Drosophila melanogaster: one gene and its partner. The protein of the gene in region 1 interacts with the protein of each later gene in a pairwise test. Each region holds a gene or a part of one and is shown on either strand. Other genes may lie near its edges.

Region 1 (9,434 bases):
AAAACCTCTAAAGTGAACATTAGATAATGAGCGCTGGAGCGACCACGAAAGAGATAGCGATAACAGCGAGAGAGACAGAAAGAGAGTGATAGAGACAGAGAGAGAGAGAGAGCTCGACTGATAAATCTAATGTTTGTCATGTGAAGCGAACCGCTTTTCAGGGCCTTGCAATTTTTATGCACTTATGACATGAAATTGCTTTGCACACACTCATAAAAGCTCTGCGACTCCCTCTCTCTCGCCTGCTCTCTCCTTTGCTCTCTCGGTTTTCGGCGGCGGGCGGTAGAAGGGTTGGCAAGGGGGGTGGCGACGGGGTGAGTGCATGCGCACCATTCAAGAAATGCATTGCACTTGTCGCCCAACACGCGCACTAATACAGCCACACATACACGCACACATGCACACACATTTTCTGCCCACAGACTTACATAAACTTTTCCATAGAAAAAAAATGTATAAACCTTCCAAATGACGTCAATCGCTCTGTAAATTGTGGCTTTTGTTAACTGGTTGTTGCTGCTGTTGTTGTTGCTTCCTTTCCATGCCAAAAACAGAAGTTTTTCGGCTTTTCGAGTGGGCTGTATGCTCATTGGCATCACTTTTATCTGTTTTGGGAGCCCAGTTTGTGGATCATCGACCGTGAAATCAGCGCTATTTATGTTTATTCGCTCCATCGATCTTTCACAACTCGAATTTTCACCCAAATGCTTAAAAATTTAAAAAATAAAACTGTTGATTTTCCCATTGAACATAATGTATTTATTCTTGTAACTTTAACATGATATAAAACATATTATTTTTTTTTTAATTTACTCACAACATTACAAAATTGAAATAGATACAATTGAATTTAACAGGAATAGAAAAGTGTTTAATATTGTTGATCATCAATTACATAAAACATTCCAGACCCATAATTCATACACATGAAAATGCAAATCTTCTATATTTAACTGTAATTTAAACTCGTTATCTATAGAAAATTGTTTAACAATGTCTCAATTGTCTTTGCGATTTATTTGTTTATTTGTTATGAGTACAACTTACAAGTATTCATTTCCTTAACTAAAGCCTCTTACTCAATGAACGCCAATAAATATTACTTTTACAAGTAAAAATATTATAAAGTTTATGATTTTTAAACACAAATTTCTTGTTTTTCTGGTGTAAACCTTAGAATATTACACCTTTTGCCAGTTGTAATTTAGAACCACTGGCGCCACCTGTGGGCCACACTTGTCTCTTTTTCAAAGCAGAGCAGAAGGGCAAAATGCTGACCTTAATATGCATTAATTGTTGCAGCAGAGCGATTCTAATGCGCTCACTCTCATTTTCCGACTCCCAATCGCTCTCTCTCTCTCTCTCGCCCCCTTTCTCTCGTTCTCTTTCTCCAGCGGGTTTCTTTCTCCGCTCCCCCACTCTGTGCATTTTCCATTTACGTGCTTTATGCTTTTTTTGGAGCAGCGCGCTGTTTCCATTTCGATCCCAATTACTGTTGTTGTTGTTGTTGTTGTGGCCTCTTTGTTGGTGTGGGGGATCTTTTGTTTTGTTTGTTTGTCCTTCTCTAATTGTGGAACCTGTGCGTGTGTGTGTTTTTAGAGATGGCACGTCAACGGGAATTTTGGTGGGTGGTGGGGGCATGTTAAATCAATACTGATTAACTGGGATTACATTGGGGAGCATTGAAACTCCCACTTTAATATGAATATTTATAGGAGCATTGAGTTTGCAGCTAAAGCTATGTATCTAAATTGCTCCAAAAAAGAAACCTTTGAAAACAATGAATGCATTCGAACATAAAATCAACTTAATATTCATATGAACCTATTGTATTTTTAGCTATTCTACACGTTAATTACACTACCTTATAAAATAGAACATAATCTTAAATTTAAAGTTTTGCTAATTTATGTATTTGTACAATGTACTTTCATATTTATGCCATTTATAGGAGATTTTTCCGCAATAAAATGATCACAGAAACTCTTAAAAGTTCTTCCTAAAAACTTATGAAATTCTTTGTTCCTGTGCAATTTAAGATATTTAGATTTAGATTTAGAGTTTGGGCAAAATGAATTCTAAATATTTGAAATTGTATATGGAAGGTATTCTATAATATTTTGGCATAAGTATATATATTTAGATTTGACCGATTAACTCAAATGATTCAGCCTCGTGACACGAAAAGTTCCACCCGCCACTCAATCCGCAGTGCAAGTAACTAAGCAAATGCGATATGTGTGTGCTTAAATGCATATAGCATGTTTATGGGTCTGCCGAATGGGGTTTTTCGAATGGAGTAGGGTGCGTTTGTGGGTTTTGTGGCGGGGGGAAAGGGGGGATGGGTATTTCGGTGGCCTATGTGCGCCTATAATTATAAGGCATATACACTATATACATATGTACATGGGCATAGCATAGCTGCGTGTTTTTCGTCGGGTAAATAGGTGCACACGTCAATTGCTGGAACGACCTCAATGGGTTCCCACTTCCAGGCCCCCCCTTCCACGGCCCACATTCGTTTGATTTTTCCGCACTGGAAAGTGGGAAAACCGGAGCAATTATTTCCCGATCCGATCATGCTACAATTATGTATGTTTAATTTTTTTTTTTTGCTGCTGATGTTGTGTTTCACTATTCACCATTCCATTGCCGTGGAGCTAGAACATGCAATTATTTTAATGTATTCGGCCTTGGGACTCATGAATGTCAATTGGCACGTAAGTTCTCCATTAGCTATTAGCTTTTACCCGCGGCTCCACGCATCCAAATGCAAATCTCTATATGTATATATAGATATGTACCTAAATGTGTACATACAAACTCATATGGTTTACGCTGCAAATCAGTCGTTTTGTATGCTAGCTTCGTTTTTTTTATGGTTTTTTATGGGGGCTAGGCGACTCCCACCCACTCGCACATATTTATACAAATTGAGACAGCGGAAAAAGTGCAACTCATTTGAATGGTTTCGCCTTCATTATGCAAATACGAGCACTGTTGGTGGCGAATATTTATTTGCTCATTATAAATACATAGAGTTTCTGGCATTTTAGCAATCATGACTTGCACGCACACGAGCATTAAACGAGTTTCTAAAATTCAGTGTAATGATCGAGTTTTATGGGACTATTGCATTCGAATTTGAACTGAGTGGGCGCCAACATATCGATAATATATAATGACAGTCGATATTTTCATAGCAACCAGCTTTCGCTGGGCTCGCTGCGCAACTAGGTGGCAGCTCTGAAATGTATATTACATGTAAGAAATCCTTTTACAAACTCAATAAATAATAATAAATGCTTGAAATAAATGTATATTTCAATACTTCTAAAGCATTTTATATATTATGTTTTTATTGGTATTACGGAAAACCTCCAACTTTCAATTTTAAAGCATTATATTTATAAATAAAATAATTCTACAAGCAAAAAAACTCATTTAATCCTGGAAGCACTTATGGATTTCACATTATAAAAGAACTGATTAAATGTATGAAGATACATCATTTTATTAACGTACATTTTGTAATATTTAATTTTTTGAATTTTCAGTTTCTGCGCGCCCATATCAAAGTCCGTAGCAAAAAAATCAATATAGGAAATGCAATAGGTGCAAGCGGGACGACCAGCTGAATCGAGCGGCGAAGCAAAGAAGACCCGATAAGGCGATGCCACCTAGTTAGAAACTAATAAGTAGTTGCATAAATAATACAGTTTTTTACACAATAGAAAATCCAAATGAGTTCTCACTCAATTTTAAAGCAAGTTATCTACTATTTGGAAACACTACCCAAGTAGTTTTCAGCCTTTGAGCACCTTTTGCTACATTTTAGCACCTTGCGGCGATCTGGCAGCGCCACACGAAAATGGCGAACACGAGCACTCCGATGAACGACGAGCTGAAAAAATAATTATTATTTTAAATTCCGTTTTGCCAGCGAAATTCGGTGCGTGCGCGAAAAAGAGTGCGGAAAAGCGCGGTTGAGAAATTTAATCGGCCCATTATGAAGCGGTCAAAGTGCGGCGCCAATGCAAATGGTTAGCCAAATGGCAAGAAATATGTAGCGATAGCGTGCCAGCCCAGTAAAATCAAATAGAATCAAATTTAAGTTTCTTGCTTTGCGAATTATGAAAAACCAATCGCAATGCGTGTGTGTGTGTGTACGTGTGGTGCGTGCGCGCGTGTGTTAGTGAGCGAGCGTAGAAGCAGAAGGCGTAGCGAGAAATAAAAATAAAAAACCATACAATAATTGATTTAAAAAAAAGAAAAGCAAAAAGGCCAACAAACGAAAAACAGCAGAAGCAACAAAAACACACGACAAGCGGCAGCAAAAACAACAACACAAAACTGGCGGTAAATACGCATACAGTACGATACAAAAAAATAAACTAGAAGCAACAACAAATACGCAACGTAACGGGAACTCTTTGACGTATTTCCTCTATTATTATGCAAAAAGGCAGGCGGCAAATTGCAGCAGCAGCGAAAATCAAATATAAATAGCGAAAAGGTAAGGACAGAGGCCCCACAAACTAAACTAAAAATAAGAGCCGAACATATTTGTTGTTTGCAGAGTGCAGTAAAATGGGTGCAAATAAATGGGCAAAAGAAAGAAGCAACAAAATACTGCAAACCTTTCAATTGGCTTCAATTGGCAAATGTAATTGTTCAGCATTACATTTGCATTACACCGCTCACCAACTCTTGCTCCCTCTCACTCTCTCTCTCACTGTGTTCTCCGCTTTTGCGCTCCCTTTGCCCCTTTTACTTTGCAAAGTTTTGCGACGAACAAGAACAATAATAATCAAAACAAAAATGTTTAAAATCCATTTTCTTTCGCCTCTCCTTCACCCACTCACTCATTTCGTAGCGCGCTGTCATTTGTCTTGCGCCTTTGCCTCCCCCCCTCTTCTTCTTCTTCTTCTACTTTACGTTGTCCCCTTCTTCTCTCTCTCCCCGCAACATTGCCGTCTCGCTCGCTCGCATGCACACCATGCACGGGTGAAGAGGAGACGTAACGAAAACGAAGTTGGTTTGCCTGGAATGCCACAGTGGGTACAAAAGGGTTTGATAGTGGTCACAGTCGACACAGTGGGGTGGGTATTTCATTATTCTGCAACAGAAACTCTTGTTATTCTTATTAAGTCAAGCAAAACTAGCAAAAATAAACATTTCTAGCCGGCTAAAAAAAAACTCAAAATCCAATCCAAAATCCAATAAATATTTAGTACAAAGTGCAAGATTGCTAATAAAATAAACCAAAAGTATAGCACTTACTTTTTGTAGGAGATGAAGGTTGTTAAAAGCATTCATATATAATTAATACGAATAAATTTATTTTATTTAAGTTCTAAATTATACGTACTTATCATTTTATATAAAGATTTACATTGCCTTATGCAGTGATGTTACAATCATCAATGTAGATCTTATAAGAATCAATAGGCCGTCCGTAGGTCGGGTAGGGTGTAGAAACATAAAGTGCAGTGAGGAAATATTAAAGGGCAAGAAAAAGTGAAAAAGCAATAGCACAAACATACAAAAAACACGAACACACATTATCCATTTGCCAAATAAACATGCACAAAGTAAGAGAAAGACGGGGAAAATGCAGAAGAAGAGGCTCCAAAAGGCGGCAAATCGCTGCATGTGTGTGTGTGAGCGAGAAGGCAACAATGGGACGAACAATATAAAAAAAAAAAAACGTGGAATTGGTCTAGTAATGTAAGAAGAAGAGCAGTAACAACGCGGACGAACGGACCGCATAATGCGCGTTTAATGATAAGTCTCTCTGTCCGAAACGAAGAGAGAGACATGGAGAGAGCGCGGCTGAGAGGCCCGCCGATTTTCGAGTGGGTGGCAACACCTAGTCTTCCTCTTTCTTTCACACCTTTTCTTGCCGCCGTTTTGTTTTGATTGCGAGTCTTCTGCGAAATGAAATGCAAATACAGTGGAGCAGCCTTAAGCTCGTAAACTTTTACATATACAATAAATGCAAATAATTTAAAATAAAACAAGTTTGGAAAATGCAACTATAAATTTTCTTATTATTTTTCTTAATTTGACTTCGAAATTTGTAAACAAAGATAGATTTCGAATAAATCAAATCAAAAACATCTCTTTGAGTATCCACTGTGGCAACTGTAACTTTGTAATAAAGAAATCCCTTGAAAATCTGACTTATTGTTCGGCATAAAATTGTGGTTGCATTTTAGCCTCCGCATTGGAAGTTGCAAGCAAAAGTTGGCATCTCCTCTCTGTCCGCCTCTTCGTCGCTCCATTGCCTCCCATTTTATTTGCACGGCAAGTTGCCTCCTCGAGCATCCTTTCAGCATTCCTATTATTCTTTTTTATGTTCCTTCCTTTTTTTTTTTGACAATGCCCCAACTAGCAAAAACAACTTGCAGGCACCAATACGTGCCATTGAAAACGAGAAAGGGAATTTAATCCGAAAAACACTGATTTCAGATACTCTAACTGCTACTTGGGGATTTTGTTTGAATGTTAATTAATTTAAAAACTAGTAGTAAATGGAAAAATGTAGTGTAAAAAGAGCGTTTTATTTGAAAATACCATTTATTTTGTTGTAAACATGTGACCATACTATGATACCCTTTTAAAAGGGCATACAAAAATGAAGTTTCACTGAAAACTGGTTTCAGTTTCGGTTTTCTTCCTTCTGGCCTGGCCCAACATTTTACATGAAAATGTGCAAAACAAAACCATTCCGGCGGTGCTAAAAACCACGCGACATGACCAGCACTAAATAAAGTTAAAATAGTAACTATTCGTTGAGCTCATAAGCTTTAAAAAAAAAGGTAACTTATGTTCGAAAATAAAACAAAATAAATTAGCTTGAATGGAATGTTCATTCATATACAAGTAATTTTGATTCTCTTCGGTAATCATATTCATTGGATTATTTTTACTCTAAACAGATTGGGAAAGCATACTAAATTGTTTTTGGTGGGTTAAACTTAAGTTAAATAGGCTGCTACAGAAAACCTTCTAGGGATAGAAACTAATAAGTTTGTTTTGAAAATCAGGACTTCAAATGCATTAGCATATTGTGATCTAAATCTCTTGAAAGTGCTAAAGTCTCGGTTCAAAAGTAATTAAAAATTGTTCTTCAATTCATACGAACTTGAATGAAAACGTTTTTAGTTTTATTATTCTTATAGAGTTATCAAAATAGAGAGTTGAAGGGAACTTAATACTTCAAGAACTTAAAAACTATTTTTATGTTAGCTGTTCAGGGTGCTACAATCGTTAATTACCATATTTCCCATAGGGCATTTACAATTCGACCTGCATAGCCTGATAGCCATTGACTATTCCTCCTACCTGTCTTCGGCATAGTTTATCCACCCCCCACCCCCCTGCCCGCCACCTCCCACTTTGCGTCTTATTCCCTGTAACTCGTTGTAAGGCGCTGTAAGGCTCTCGAACACAATGGACCGACTGGCTGCAACTCCTTTTGTGGCATCTTCAACATGTGGTTGGTGGTGGTTCAGTTGCATCGGGAACGGCAATTCGCCAAGAACTCAGATAGGAGGATGCAGCCAGTTGTCCTTAAAGTCTCTGTATTGATTGATGATTTGCCATTGCAACTCCTCGAGTGAACCGCATTAAATTGATGATTTTCTTCGGCTTTTCCCGCAGTATACTGGAGTATACACACATTTCCGCAGCGTGTTGAGCACGCCACAAGCATAAACAAAAGTGAGCAACAGGAATTCAGCTAGGATTCGGCGTGAAACGAATACGAAAAACCATACGAAATGGCAGCGGTTCGAGGACATCAGTATTTCAGTCTGCGCTGGAATAACTACCAGAACACGATGACGTCCGTGTTTCAGCAGCTGCGCGAGGATCTCTCCTTTGTGGACGTCACTCTGTCCTGCGAGCATGGATCCCTCAAGGCGCACAAGGTGAAGTATCTCGATATATGTATCTACACTATAGTTATGAAGCTAATCAAACTTTTGTTCAAAAACTCCAGGTCGTCCTGTCCGCCTGTTCGACGTATTTCCAAAAACTACTGCTCGAGAATCCGTGCAAACATCCCACAATTATCCTTCCCGCCGACATTATCTTCACCGACCTGAAAACGATCATCGATTTTGTTTATCGTGGTGAAATCGACGTCACCGAATCGGAATTACAGGTGAGTCGATATACTAGTTGTTAGTTTTTGCAGGTGATTCTAAAATAGATTTATCATTGTAAGAACGATATAATAGAGAATATATATAGAAATACAAAGGAATTTCATCTGAAATCGGAAGTATCTGATGTACGAGTATAATTATCTAGATTTTCATGTTTATATTTTATCATATCTTTCCAAATGTGTTGCCATAAAATGGGTTTAATTAGGCGGAAGTATTTATTTATATATTTCTCGCAATTGAAAGGTGTCGATATGTGAATGTTTCTGTTTTGCGGATAAGTTAACTGTATTATGAGACTATTTTTGAAATCTTTATTCCTATCTCTAATACCCGTTAATCTTTATATTTCGTAAAAACCCGAATGAAATGAAAATACACGATTATGAATAGGCGTAAAATCGAGCATATCTAGATTTATATATCATTTGGATATAATTCTATTTACTAAACAACTGTGCTACAATAAATGGGCTATTCTACCGAAACGAGAAAGTTCTAACGTTCAAATTCCAGTGGCCATCAGCTATGAAATACACTGCACCCACAATTACCACCTGCTAATCGGTTTGTCAACAAAACAAAATAACATCGAAATAGCCCGACCACAAAAGTGGTTCTTTTTTAAATTGAACGCACAAATATGAAGGGGGAGAGCAGTAGTAATAGTATGTGCACAATTGCTTTCAGGGTCGTTCTTATCTGGGCAGAGCTACAACCCCCCTCCCCTCCCCTCCCCCCACTTCCTCGGAAAACCCCTTCTCTACAAGCTTCCACTTTTCTCCTGCATTTATCTGAGTGCCACCCACCGCAACCGATCTACTACACTGCACGAAATACAGAGTGCTCTTAGTTTTGTTTACTCAAAATATACAAACAAAAGTGAATTTAAGTTCAATATGAACTAAATTATTACATCTTAAATAATACATTATTTTTACTAAACATGGAATCTACTCAGTAAAATTTTTTAATCAAATTAAATTTATTTTTCCAAATCTATCGTAATATTATTTAAATGTTTAATAAACCCCTTCAATTACTTGGCACCAAAACTAGAGGGATTATATATCAATATTTCTAAGATATATATTACTTACATAAAGATTTATTTTACTAAATTTTTTAGTATTAGAGATAAAAGCCTAAAAGCGGTGCAATTTTATTTCCGGTGCAGCAACGTGCCTCGATTTGTTGCTTTTGCATTTGACGACAACGCCCCATTGTAATTGTCATTTGTGCGCTTCATTAATTCTC
Region 2 (10,868 bases), 7.6 Mb from region 1:
ATTCCCTTGATATCAGATTGCCATTGAGTGCGATCTTGTCCCGGAATATGGCCGCATACGGATCGTTCGGCTGCAGTCGCTTGGTGCGCAGCTGTGCAATGAGCTGCTTTACCCGCTCGTTCCTCAGGGCGGCTATGCAGACATCCCGTGCCTGCAGCTCGCCCTCCAGGTAGTACAGCATCTTCACCAGCTCGCTGTGCGGCATCTCGGAGCGCGTGCGTCCGTTGGTTGCGGTAGCACTGCTGGCGCTATTTGCCACCGGCATCACCTTGTGCACCACACCGGGACCCGGTTTCATGGTCTGGAACTCGTGGTTGGCGCTCACGGTGTCGCCGACCGACATTCCGGATCCGGAACAGTTCTCAGTGCCGTAATCCGCGTCCGTCGCTGGTGCCTCCGCAAACGTATCCGCAACGCTGCTGTTCGAGTTCTGCTCCATTGCCGCCGACTCTTTCGTGTGGCTCCCGTCCCGATATCCAATGCCCAATTCCCGATTCCGGATTCCGAACTCCCGATCTCCACCTCCGCTCAGCTCACGGCATACAAAAAAAAAAGTTTGGTGCGTCGCAGTTCGCAAATTACACGGTATGCAAGCTCTCTGCAATATTTAACTTCTGGCCCGGACTCTGTTTAAGCCCGCTTTCAAGGCAAGTGGCTTTGCGCAAGCAGCAATCGCCACAGGAAATTATCTTACAATTTCTTTGTCAATTTGTTGCCCGTGAAAAAGTGGATACTTGCGGCAGTGCTGCCGATTCAGCTTTATTCCCGTCAGATCTGGCTTAGTCGCAGGATAGTGCTGCGCATGGCGGGAAGATAAGAACATAAACGTCTGTTTTTTAATTAGTCAGCATTTTCTTAAATATCCAAACGCACTTTATTTGAGTTATATTTTTACACTCTTTACTATACTGTTAAGTTAAGCTTATTGTATCTAAAGGTGCTATGTTCATGATATCCAAAATCCATGTAGCCATAAACAGCTTTTATCTTTTATTAAAAAACGGCAGCACCGATTATGTACGCTGCGCTGCCAACTCGCTTTAAAAAAGAGTAGCGAGTAGCCAGTGTTGCAAAGCACGTTAAGCAAGGGTCTGCTTTTTGGCGCCGTTACGGGTTTTGAAACTATATTTAAATTTATAAGTTCATAAATATAATATATAATAGCACAAACTTTATTATAAAAATCGGGGTATGCTGAAAATAACTAAAGCGGTGCAAATTGCTTTAGTTTGGTAGAATATATTATTAAGTAATTTAAACAATTGTATTTATTTACAATTTATAAACAATTTGTTTTTTATTTTTTGTAAACAAAGGGCTTGGCGGTGTTGTAGGCCAGGGAATACCTTATGTGCTTGCCAACCAATCGATCGGCTAAAGGTATTAAAGCCGGTTCACGTCTGTAAATCCCTGCCGCCTTTGGTGTCCAGGCCCGTAGACGACACTCCGAGTGGCCCGGCAGCAGGATTCCCATCCAGCCCGCAGAGCTGAGCGTAATATCACAGTTAAGCCTCGTTTCCTCGTTCCTTCCTTCACTTGCCAGCACAATATCCCCATCCTTGCATTGCAATCCCGGCCAGCGTCGCAGGCGGGCCTCCAAGTTCTCGCTAGCGAAGGGAACACCCAGAAAGGGCGAACCCACGTATCTTTTGTACACGCTTTCCGCCTCCTGTGTATCTGCTATCATGATGGGAAGATGCTCTGAGGCAAATACAAACACCTTCAGCCAGTCAAAGTGTTTCCTTGGGCTTGTTATTTCCAGCAGATCCAATCTGGCCAAACCGCCCAGTAGTATGCTCATCTGGGGCCGCAGCCGAAAGGCGCGCGGTCGGATCATGGTGGCGGGCTGCAGCTTTACCAGCTCCTCGGCGGTGAGCAGGGGAGATATTTGGTCGGGTTGCATCACACCCGGTGTGTCGTAGACCCAACGCGCTTCCTTGTACTCCTTGCCCCGATCGTTTAGCGTTGTAATCGGTCGCGAGCCACCGGCCATGGCAAAGGCATCATGGAGATTTTCGCGTCGATCGAAGGTGCGTCCAACCGGAGCCACTGGTTGAGCAGCTGCCGCTGAACCCGTTTCCCTTGCCACTGCGCGACGCTCCTTTTCCATTTCCGCCTTCTCGCTGCGCTCCGAAACCAATCTCTTAAAGCGCTGATAGACTCGATCGTTCGATGGACGCAAGATTGGAAACCGCAGCAGTTTGAGTGTGGTGCCCGGCCACGGACAGGTGGTGGCCTTGCGCACCAGGTCACTGGCCTCCGGCCGGCAGTAGTCCGAGTTAAGCAGAATGTTGAACAGCGAGCTCTTGCCCACATTGGTGCAGCCCACCAGATAGACATCGCCTTTGTAGGCCCACGTTTTGTGCAGCTGCGTTATTAGCTCCTCGATGCCATAGCCCGTTTTGGCGGATATCAAACTGACATTCTTGATATTTAGACCATTTCCACCGCCATGCTTGATGAACTCGCGCTGCAGAGAATCCTTAATATGCTGAAGATAGATGTTGGAGTCGCGCGGCAGCAGATCGACCTTGTTGCCCACCAGGAAGACGGGTCGCTTTGCGCCCAATATGTTTTGCATGCCCGGCCAAATGGAGCAGGGAAAATCGAGAAGGTCCACCAGAACAATAGCCAGTGCAAATTTGTCTTGAATGCGGGATATGGTGTCCACATAGGTCGATGGGGCCACCACCACATCCAATGCGATGTTGTAGTGGTTCAGAAAGTGACAACGCTTGCAGGTGATCGTTTGCAGTTCCTGCTGCGTCCTATCCCTGAATATTTCACTTGGTATATAGCCTGGCAGGGAGGCATTCGTGCAATGAAGGTCTGCGCCGCAGCCGTTGCATGGAACCTTTGAGGCGGGTAACGAAGGATCCGGTGTGCCCTGCTTATTCCCTCCCTCCTGGGCGCCCTGATAGAACTCGTAGTCGTCCATCCAGTCGTCGGGCAAATGCTGTTGTGTCTCAGGAATCGAGAAAGAGGGTTTTATTTTGGTCTCCAGAACAGAGCTGTAATGAACGTGCTCATGATCCTTGTACCGCTCTCTGGCGAGCAGCCACGCCCTCTGCCGAAAGCTCTGTCCCACTTCAGCGGCGGTATTCTGCCGCCTCGAACATGTGATAACCACATTTTTATTTATAATTTTATATAAACGTGTGGTTTTAAACATTTTGCAATGCCCACAAGAATTCTCACAGTGTCAGACTAAAGCCGTTTGCTACGAAACCATTTACATAGTCAGGGCTGCTAGCCGATAGATCTGAACGATTGTTATATTATTTGGCGTACAAAATAACAAGCATCAATTCAAGCAATGCTTTTTGTGTTATAAATCGAATAAAAGATATTTCAGTACATTAATTTGTGTTCATTAACTGGAAAAAAACAAAACGCATCGAAATTAGGCCGATTCATATCGAACAATCACGAGTGTATCGAAAATCGAAATCGGTGAAAGAGAAAAAAGAAAGCAGCGTTAGCGAGAAAGCAGAGGTGAGTTAAGTGCGGGACAAAAAAAAAGCGTGTATGTATTAAAATTGAAACAAAAAGATATAGAAAAAGCGTGTCCACGGCGCAATTAGCGTGCTCCTGCGGCGGTCGGCAGGCGATATACGCATTGGTAAAAGTACAGAGTACACGCCGAGTAAAAAGCAGCAGCGCACAACAAATAAAATGATTAGGAAAGTGTGTGGAAAAAAGACAAGTGTATGTGAACGGCGATTGTATGTGTGCGTGACGTGACTGTATGCGTGCTGCTGCTGCGTGTATATGAAATAAAAAGTAACGCGAAGCGCGACCTAATTTTAACCAAATATTACAATAATATTTGCATAAACAAAGGCGGCTCGGTTAATGTGACGCCAGGCATTTTGGTGGTTCCTGCGGCTTTCCACGAACGTTTGCCGACGCCATTGTCTGACCAAAAACAAAAGAAAAGAATTGAAATAGAATAAATCTCAGACGAGCACACTATTCCGTCGAGTGTAGAGTTCTTCCCGATTGAGTAATGCAATAACAACAAACGGAGCTGCTCAAATTGTTGAGAGTGTTGCAACTTTCGTTGGAACTCGTTTTGAACCGTTGTTGTTGTTGTTGTTGTTGATTTTGTCGCTCGCATCGCTCACTCACTTACTCACCGACTCACTCGCTCCTTTCCATTCTCCTGATGTTACCAAAACTGGTCTTCAAGAAGCAACAATGCAGTTTCTTGACGGGGAAGGGGAAAAATCAATAGTTCGGAAATTAGACAACTTTCAACATCCATGATTCAACGAAATGCACTCAGCCTAGAAGAAGCTACCGATAACCCCGGGCGCAAGAGCAAGCGAGATAGTTGCCGCCGCCTACCCACACTCGCACACAGCCACACACTTACACTTATGCAGCTGAATTTCCAGCGATGTCTGCTCTGCCTTTTAAGTTGTTGTTGTTGTAATGTAATTGCGAAATCATAACGGCAGTTGAAAGTTGAGAGCGCTTAGCGAAAGAGAACGAGGGACACAGAGAGCGTGAGACTAAAGTTTAAGCTCTGGCGGCAAACTATATGCCCTGCTCTCCCCCGCCCACGCAGAAACATACAGCCGGCTGCCAGTGTAGCGCATATGAGAGTCGCATCAACAACAACGCTATTTCCTCAAGAAGAAAAACACATGTTGGCCGCACAGTGGGATGGAGTGGGAGTGAAATTAAGACAAAGTCACTGAATGGAAGTGCGAATGGTGCCGCCATCTTGGTTCTTTTTTGGTCAAAAATCACGGAATGAATGCTATTTAACTGGAGTGCGCCTAAAAATACATTGCCATCGGCAGCTGCAGCGTGCATCGCGTGCAACAGACTAATTCCGCGTTCTAAGCCACTGTGCCGCATACGAATTCAAATAAGCAATAAGTACACATGTGTGTACGACTGAAAATGCAGAAATTGCCTTGAAAAGTGAAAGGCATTCAACAGAGCGAGCCAGCGACGATTTGATATTTTTGCCTCTTTGCTTAACCTTTGCTGGCAGCTGTTTGCTGTTTTTATTTAGCGCTGTCTCAGCACTTTGACATTTTCCAGCTCACTCACACATGTACAGAGTAACAACGCTGTGCATTCCGAACTCCCATTTCCCACTGCACAAACGCTGCACATGCGCCGCAGCACATTTATATTTGCAGAATACTTTTGGCCAAGAGACGTGCTGTTTTGCAATGCTCTCGTAACGTTCACTGCTAATTTCGCCAAGCTGTTGTTTGTTTGTCTTACTCTGCCTTGCCGTTACCGTTCGTTCACTAATGCTGTCTGTTTACTTCTCTTGCAGAGTGCGTCAAAGAAAACCCAAGCGAAAACCCACGGATTAAGCGGTCCGCTGCGAATTAAGACCATCTAACGGTGAACCTTTCGGTCACTAGTCCAAATTAAGCCTCCTGCCCACCCCCCTCCCAGCATTCTGTTCAGCGAGCGCGACGCCCCCACAAAACAAAAGCTTCTTCATGATGTCGTCGGATCAACAGTTCTTTCTAAAATGGAACGATTTTCAAACGAATATGGTGACCTCGTTCCGTCACCTGCGCGACGAGAAGAGCTTCACAGATGTGAGTAACCAAATGAAACTTTCCAGAAGCGGCGATGGAAAAACTATTGCAGTCGAACTATTAGTTAGAATGATGATATTAGATGTCAATATATTTTGAAGTTACTTATAAATTCAGTCAAAATCAAGCCATAGAAGTTCGACTGTAGTTAACCAGTCCCAGGGGCGCGCTGAGGTTTATTATGCTACTCTTGGCCCGATTGGCTCGCGGCCGCCCCTTGTGGAGGGTCAGTCACCGGCTGAGCTCAGTTGGTCTGAGTAGCAGATACCTGGCCCTCACGCTATTTTCAATTCGTTTTTCTTTTACCTGTGTTCGTTCTTCGCTCTGCGTTTTTGTTCAATTTGTTGCGGTGAAAATGCCTGGCGGATCTTACTGATTTCCCAATGCTTATTGTTCACAGGTAACACTCGCCTGCGAGGGCCAAACCTGCAAAGCCCACAAAATGGTGCTTTCCGCTTGCAGTCCCTACTTTAAAGCGCTACTGGAGGTGAGTTTTTCACGCGGTAATAACTAAGCAATCGTTTGATAATGTAATGTATGCACCCGCAGGAGAACCCATCGAAGCATCCGATCATTATCCTGAAAGATGTCTCCTACATTCACCTACAGGCTATACTGGAGTTCATGTACGCCGGTGAGGTGAACGTGTCCCAGGAACAATTGCCAGCATTTCTTAAGACCGCCGATCGCCTCAAAGTGAAAGGCCTCGCAGAGACACCCAGTTCGATAAAGCGGGAAGGTTGATGGTATTAAACAATAATCGAAACAAAAAATACATAATAAATAACAACAACCAACTATAAGAAACTTATATGTACGCAAGAAAACAAAATTCCAACCAGCGGCAAAAGAAACAACATTACGAGAACGACATTTGGTATACAAATTCATATAAGAGTGCACGAGGAGGATGAAGAACGCCAACAAATGACCACACAAAGCTAAAGCTGGACAGATTGAAATGATTAGCCTGTAAAGTAGAGGTGGAGGCCAAATCCGCCCGCCCACTCCCACACCCGCTCATTCACATCTGATCAACCAAATTGCAAAAAAAAAAAAAACAACACTTACCGACAACCCCACAGAACTCGATTTGAATTCTTTTTGTTTAATTTCTGCATAAAATAGTTTGTAATATATTATTAACAATACAAACCACTCTGTATAAATAAAACGATATGGACAGCAGCCCCTAAAGCAAAACAAAACATAACGAAACGAAACAAAACAAAAAACGCACTTTTGTAAAGTAATTAAAGAAGATCCATTTAAAATATATAAAGATAATTATAAATATAGTGTGAAATGTGCAAGTAGATGGAAAAAGCCACGACGGGCGCGAATATTACAACACATTCGGTTAGTTTTTAAGCCACTAACTACAACCCCAGACATGCCACGCCTCCAGACAGACAAACTCATTTTCATCTATATTTAAACAATAAAATAGAAACAAATGCAAAATTGTACTTCAATTAATTGTGTGTGGACAAGCGCGTTTTTCCCCAACTTCTGATCATACGCGAGATACATACATATATTGTATTAATAACAAAACGAAGAAAAGGTGTTTCAGTGCGAAGCTAGCAGTTCTACACAGTTTAAACAAAAGAGTAAGGAAATACGTTAGAATGAAAAATACAACTTGAGTAAAAACTATACTTGAATATTATTACATAAAGTAAAATATTTATATGTATGTATATGTATACATGTGAGCATAGATTTAAAGAAACTACGGTAAATAAACAGAATAATTAAAACAAAAAAAAAAAAAAAACAAATGCAAATCATCCTGAGCTTTTCATTAAATTACGATTCGAAAACCGGTCGATTTGCATGTCTGCATTTATTTTAATAGTCTTTCATAACATCCTTCATAAGCTTCGTACTTTGTATACAGAGTAATTCGTTTACAAATTAACAAAAATATGTTCGCTTAGCTTAAATTACACTAATATTTGATATATTGCCGATTGGATCTCGCTTGCTGTTGCACATGCATGCAGCCAATATAGATCAAGATGCACAATAAGCCACAGTTCCTAATTATTGAAACAGTACGCATTGCGCGTGTGCAGTTCGAATGGATCGAGGCGCATCTTCTCCTGGTTATCCTCAACGAAACGCGTCACATCCGCCACGAGATTGGGTCGCTCCTCGGCGCTGGCGGCGCACGGCGACCAGATCTTAATGTTATGGTCAATGCCACTGGTGGCCAGCATGCAGATGCTCGGATGCGGCTGCACGCAATTCACGATGGCACTGTCCGCCCGATAAACGGCGCGTATCTTGCCCGTGTCTCCCTCCCAAATGTACATGTTGCCGTCATCCGAACCAGCGGCTATGAACTCGCCCTGGCTGCCCAAATAGTTGGCCTCCTTTATGTCCGTCGTGACGTTGCAGTGGCCCACATAGCGTTGCATATAGTCGCGTGCCGTGGAACGGAGATCATATTCGGCGTTCTTCAGACGCAGGTAGCGGAAGCCATCATCCACTTCCACCGGCTGTAGCTCGGGTGCCTCGGGGCTCTTTGACTGTCGTCGATTCTCCTTGATGTCCTTGTTCAGCATGAGCACGCCGTGATTGTTGGCGAAGTCGGGGAAACGCTGAATTAGTGCCTGCAAGCACTGATCCGCATCCTGGGGTCGATGCAGCTCAAGCAATGCCCTGGCCAGCCGAAAGTGGGCCTTCACATAACTGGGATCCAGACGCAGGGCCTCGTGGCAGTCCCTAAGTGCCGCATATATATCACCAAACCAGCCGCGTCGCATTAGAGCCGTCGCTCTGTTCAGATAGAGGACCTCTCCTTGTGGATATTTCGCCAAAGCCGCTGAGTAAGCATCAATTGCATCTACAAGTTTGCCGTTCTCAAGAAAGTCATTGCCCTCCTTCTTATACACCTCTATTTCGGTTGGCAGCGAGCGACTTCTGTGTGGCATCTTCACCGGCTCCTCCTCGTGAACGAGTGTTGATGTGAAGGCGGGCAGATCGTAGAAAACCGGAGGCTCAGCGTGATTCAGATCAAAGCGGTAGACGTGCTCGCAGCCTATGTTGACCAAAAGCTCTGTGCCATTGCCATTGAACGTAAGATAAGTGATTCCCCGTGGCTCGTGGACAATGTTCCGGCTGATGTTTTTCACGATCTGTCCGGGTGCATAGTACGCCACGCAGGCAGAGAGACCTTAAAGGGATAAGAGTTCAATATGCATATGTATGAGCTGCAGCGCCTACAAATTCAAGTACTCACCATTGCCGTTGGTGGAGGGCAGCTTGCGGCGATCGTACACCCGGGCAAAGGGATCGTTGGTGCCCACGGCCAGGTATTCCGTCCTTCGGGGATTTATAGCCAGACATTTGGCCTCTGTGTTCTCCAACTGATCGTGCAGGTTCAAGAGCCTGACACCAATACCTTCCTCGGGACGGCAGCGATGTGGCTCACGTATATCTAGCTGCAGGATGCAACCATCCTCTCCCGCCGACCAAAAGACGTGCGGCGAGTCCTGGGCGGTGGCCAAGCGCTTCGCCCGAGAAAAATGGCAAATGCAAGAAAAAAGGGTCTCGTTCGGGTCGTTGATGTCGTAGACGTAGATGAACTTATCCGCTGCACACGTAGCCACAATGCTGTTGTTGGTCTTGGGCAGAAATTTTACAGAGAACACATTGCCCAGATGCTTGGTCCTGATGACATGAACAAGCTTCTTTCGGAACGGATCCCAGATCATCACACGATAGTCGTCGGATCCGGAGGCCAGCCACATACCATCAGTGGTCCACTCCAGACAGTTGACGCAGCCCTCGTGACCGACGAGCACTGCCTCCTGCTCCAGCCTGTCCACGTAGGCCGGCGATGCCAGCAGACGTCGCCGGAGCATCTCGTCCAGCTCATGACCGTATTGCTGGCGCTGCCAATGCAAGGAGCTGGCGTTCAAGGGCGTGTGCTGGCGCTGATAGCGCGAACTAGAGTACTTTACGCGATACAGTTCATCGCTCGACATTATCTCCGACTGCTGTGGATAGGATTATGACACTTGTTTCCGTTTGTTTTCGTCTCGTTCTCCGTTTAATTCATTTTGCATTCGCTGATTTCCCCTGCCCCGCTTCGCCCCCCTTCCATCAACAACTTTGCTGTTGTTGACACCTGTGCGCGGCGTTGCCAGGCCAGCGCGTATCGCCGTAACGGTTTGCGTTAGCTTACGGGATCGAACAACCAAATTTCAGTTATGGAAAAAGTATTTCTTTTTTTAAACACCCGAGAAGTGAAAGATTAAGTAGAGTCTAGCACACAACTGACTTAAACCGCCTACGAAGGCAAACGTAAATTCATTTATAAAACCTCTTAAACTCTATTATGGCTTAAAAAAAGAACAAACAAAAAAAAACAGGTTTTACGTATAGTAAAAAAATGTAAGCCAATTGCAAGTTCCGCTCTAGCCGACCGTTTTTAAGGGCTGGAAAATGGTGGAAAACATTTGAGGGATTATAACAGTTTTACCATCTGGTAACACTGCCAGATAAACTAAAAAAATCGAATTGATTTATTTAATTCCACGGAAGACGCGACGTTGACTGAAAAGCTAAGACATGTCCAAAGAAAAGGAGGACGAGTGCGACAAGCACAAACAGCAGGCGACGGCGGACGCCAAGTCCACGTCGAGCGAGGATTCCGATGAGTACCAATCGGCCGGTGAGGGCGAGGATGGAGACGGCGATGGTGACGGTGATTCCCCAGCGGAGCGCCCGCCTGACAAAACCAGCCCCACGGTCGCCGTTGCGCCCACAGCAAAGGCAGCATCGCCACTGCCCACTGTGAAGCCAGCATCCGAGGCCCTGGACTTTCCTATGCACCGGAGTGTTTTCGAGGACGACATCAAGTCGCTGCAGCGACGACTTCTATTGAGCACGGCCCAAGACGAAGTGGGTAGAAAGGATAAGCACGGCAATACGCCACTCCATCTGGCCGTAATGCTGGGCAGAAAGCACGCTGTCCGTTTGCTTCTGGCCCAAAACGCCCCCGTAAAGATCAAGAACAATGAGGGCTGGTCCCCGCTGTCCGAGGCCATTAGCTACGGCGACCGCCAGACAATCACCCAGGTGCTGCGAATGCTAAAGCTGCAGTCCCGCGAACACATGGAGAGTCGGCGCGAGAAGCTGGTCAATGCGCTGCGCCAGATGCAGGACTTCTACATGGAATTCAAGTGGGATTTTCAATCATGGCTGCCACTGGTTTCCCGCATCCTGCCCTCGGACATCTGCCGGCTTTACAAGTCGGGCGCCTCCATTCGTTTGGAC

Evidence for each region.
Region 2: the proteins of psq (region 1) and lolal interact in a two-hybrid assay, tested with the Drosophila melanogaster proteins (one study listed by BioGRID).

Annotation. Positions count from the first base shown.
Region 1 is NT_033778.4:10,554,018-10,563,451, forward strand, and holds the start of psq (pipsqueak), read left to right. Parts: upstream 1-3,870; 5' UTR 3,871-4,359; exon of another isoform or gene 4,360-4,516; intron 4,517-7,668; 5' UTR 7,669-7,787; coding exon 7,788-7,937; intron 7,938-8,008; coding exon 8,009-8,173; intron 8,174-9,434.
Region 2 is NT_033778.4:18,150,600-18,161,467, reverse strand, and holds lolal (lola like), read left to right. Parts: upstream 1-3,449; 5' UTR 3,450-3,526; exon of another isoform or gene 3,527-3,708; intron 3,709-4,575; exon of another isoform or gene 4,576-4,721; intron 4,722-5,088; exon of another isoform or gene 5,089-5,302; 5' UTR 5,303-5,474; coding exon 5,475-5,576; intron 5,577-5,976; coding exon 5,977-6,063; intron 6,064-6,125; coding exon 6,126-6,320; 3' UTR 6,321-7,373; downstream 7,374-10,868. Other genes in the region: Naus (nausicaa), read right to left, coding at 1-439; CG10914 (uncharacterized protein), read right to left, coding at 1,298-3,172; adp (adipose), read right to left, coding at 7,622-8,760, 8,827-9,574; CG5742 (uncharacterized protein), read left to right, coding at 10,161-10,868. UniProt on the Drosophila melanogaster protein: Required, together with Trl, for maintaining the repressed state of target genes including homeotic genes Scr and Ubx. May also be involved in the activation of homeotic genes. Binds to a DNA Polycomb response element (PRE) at the bithorax complex.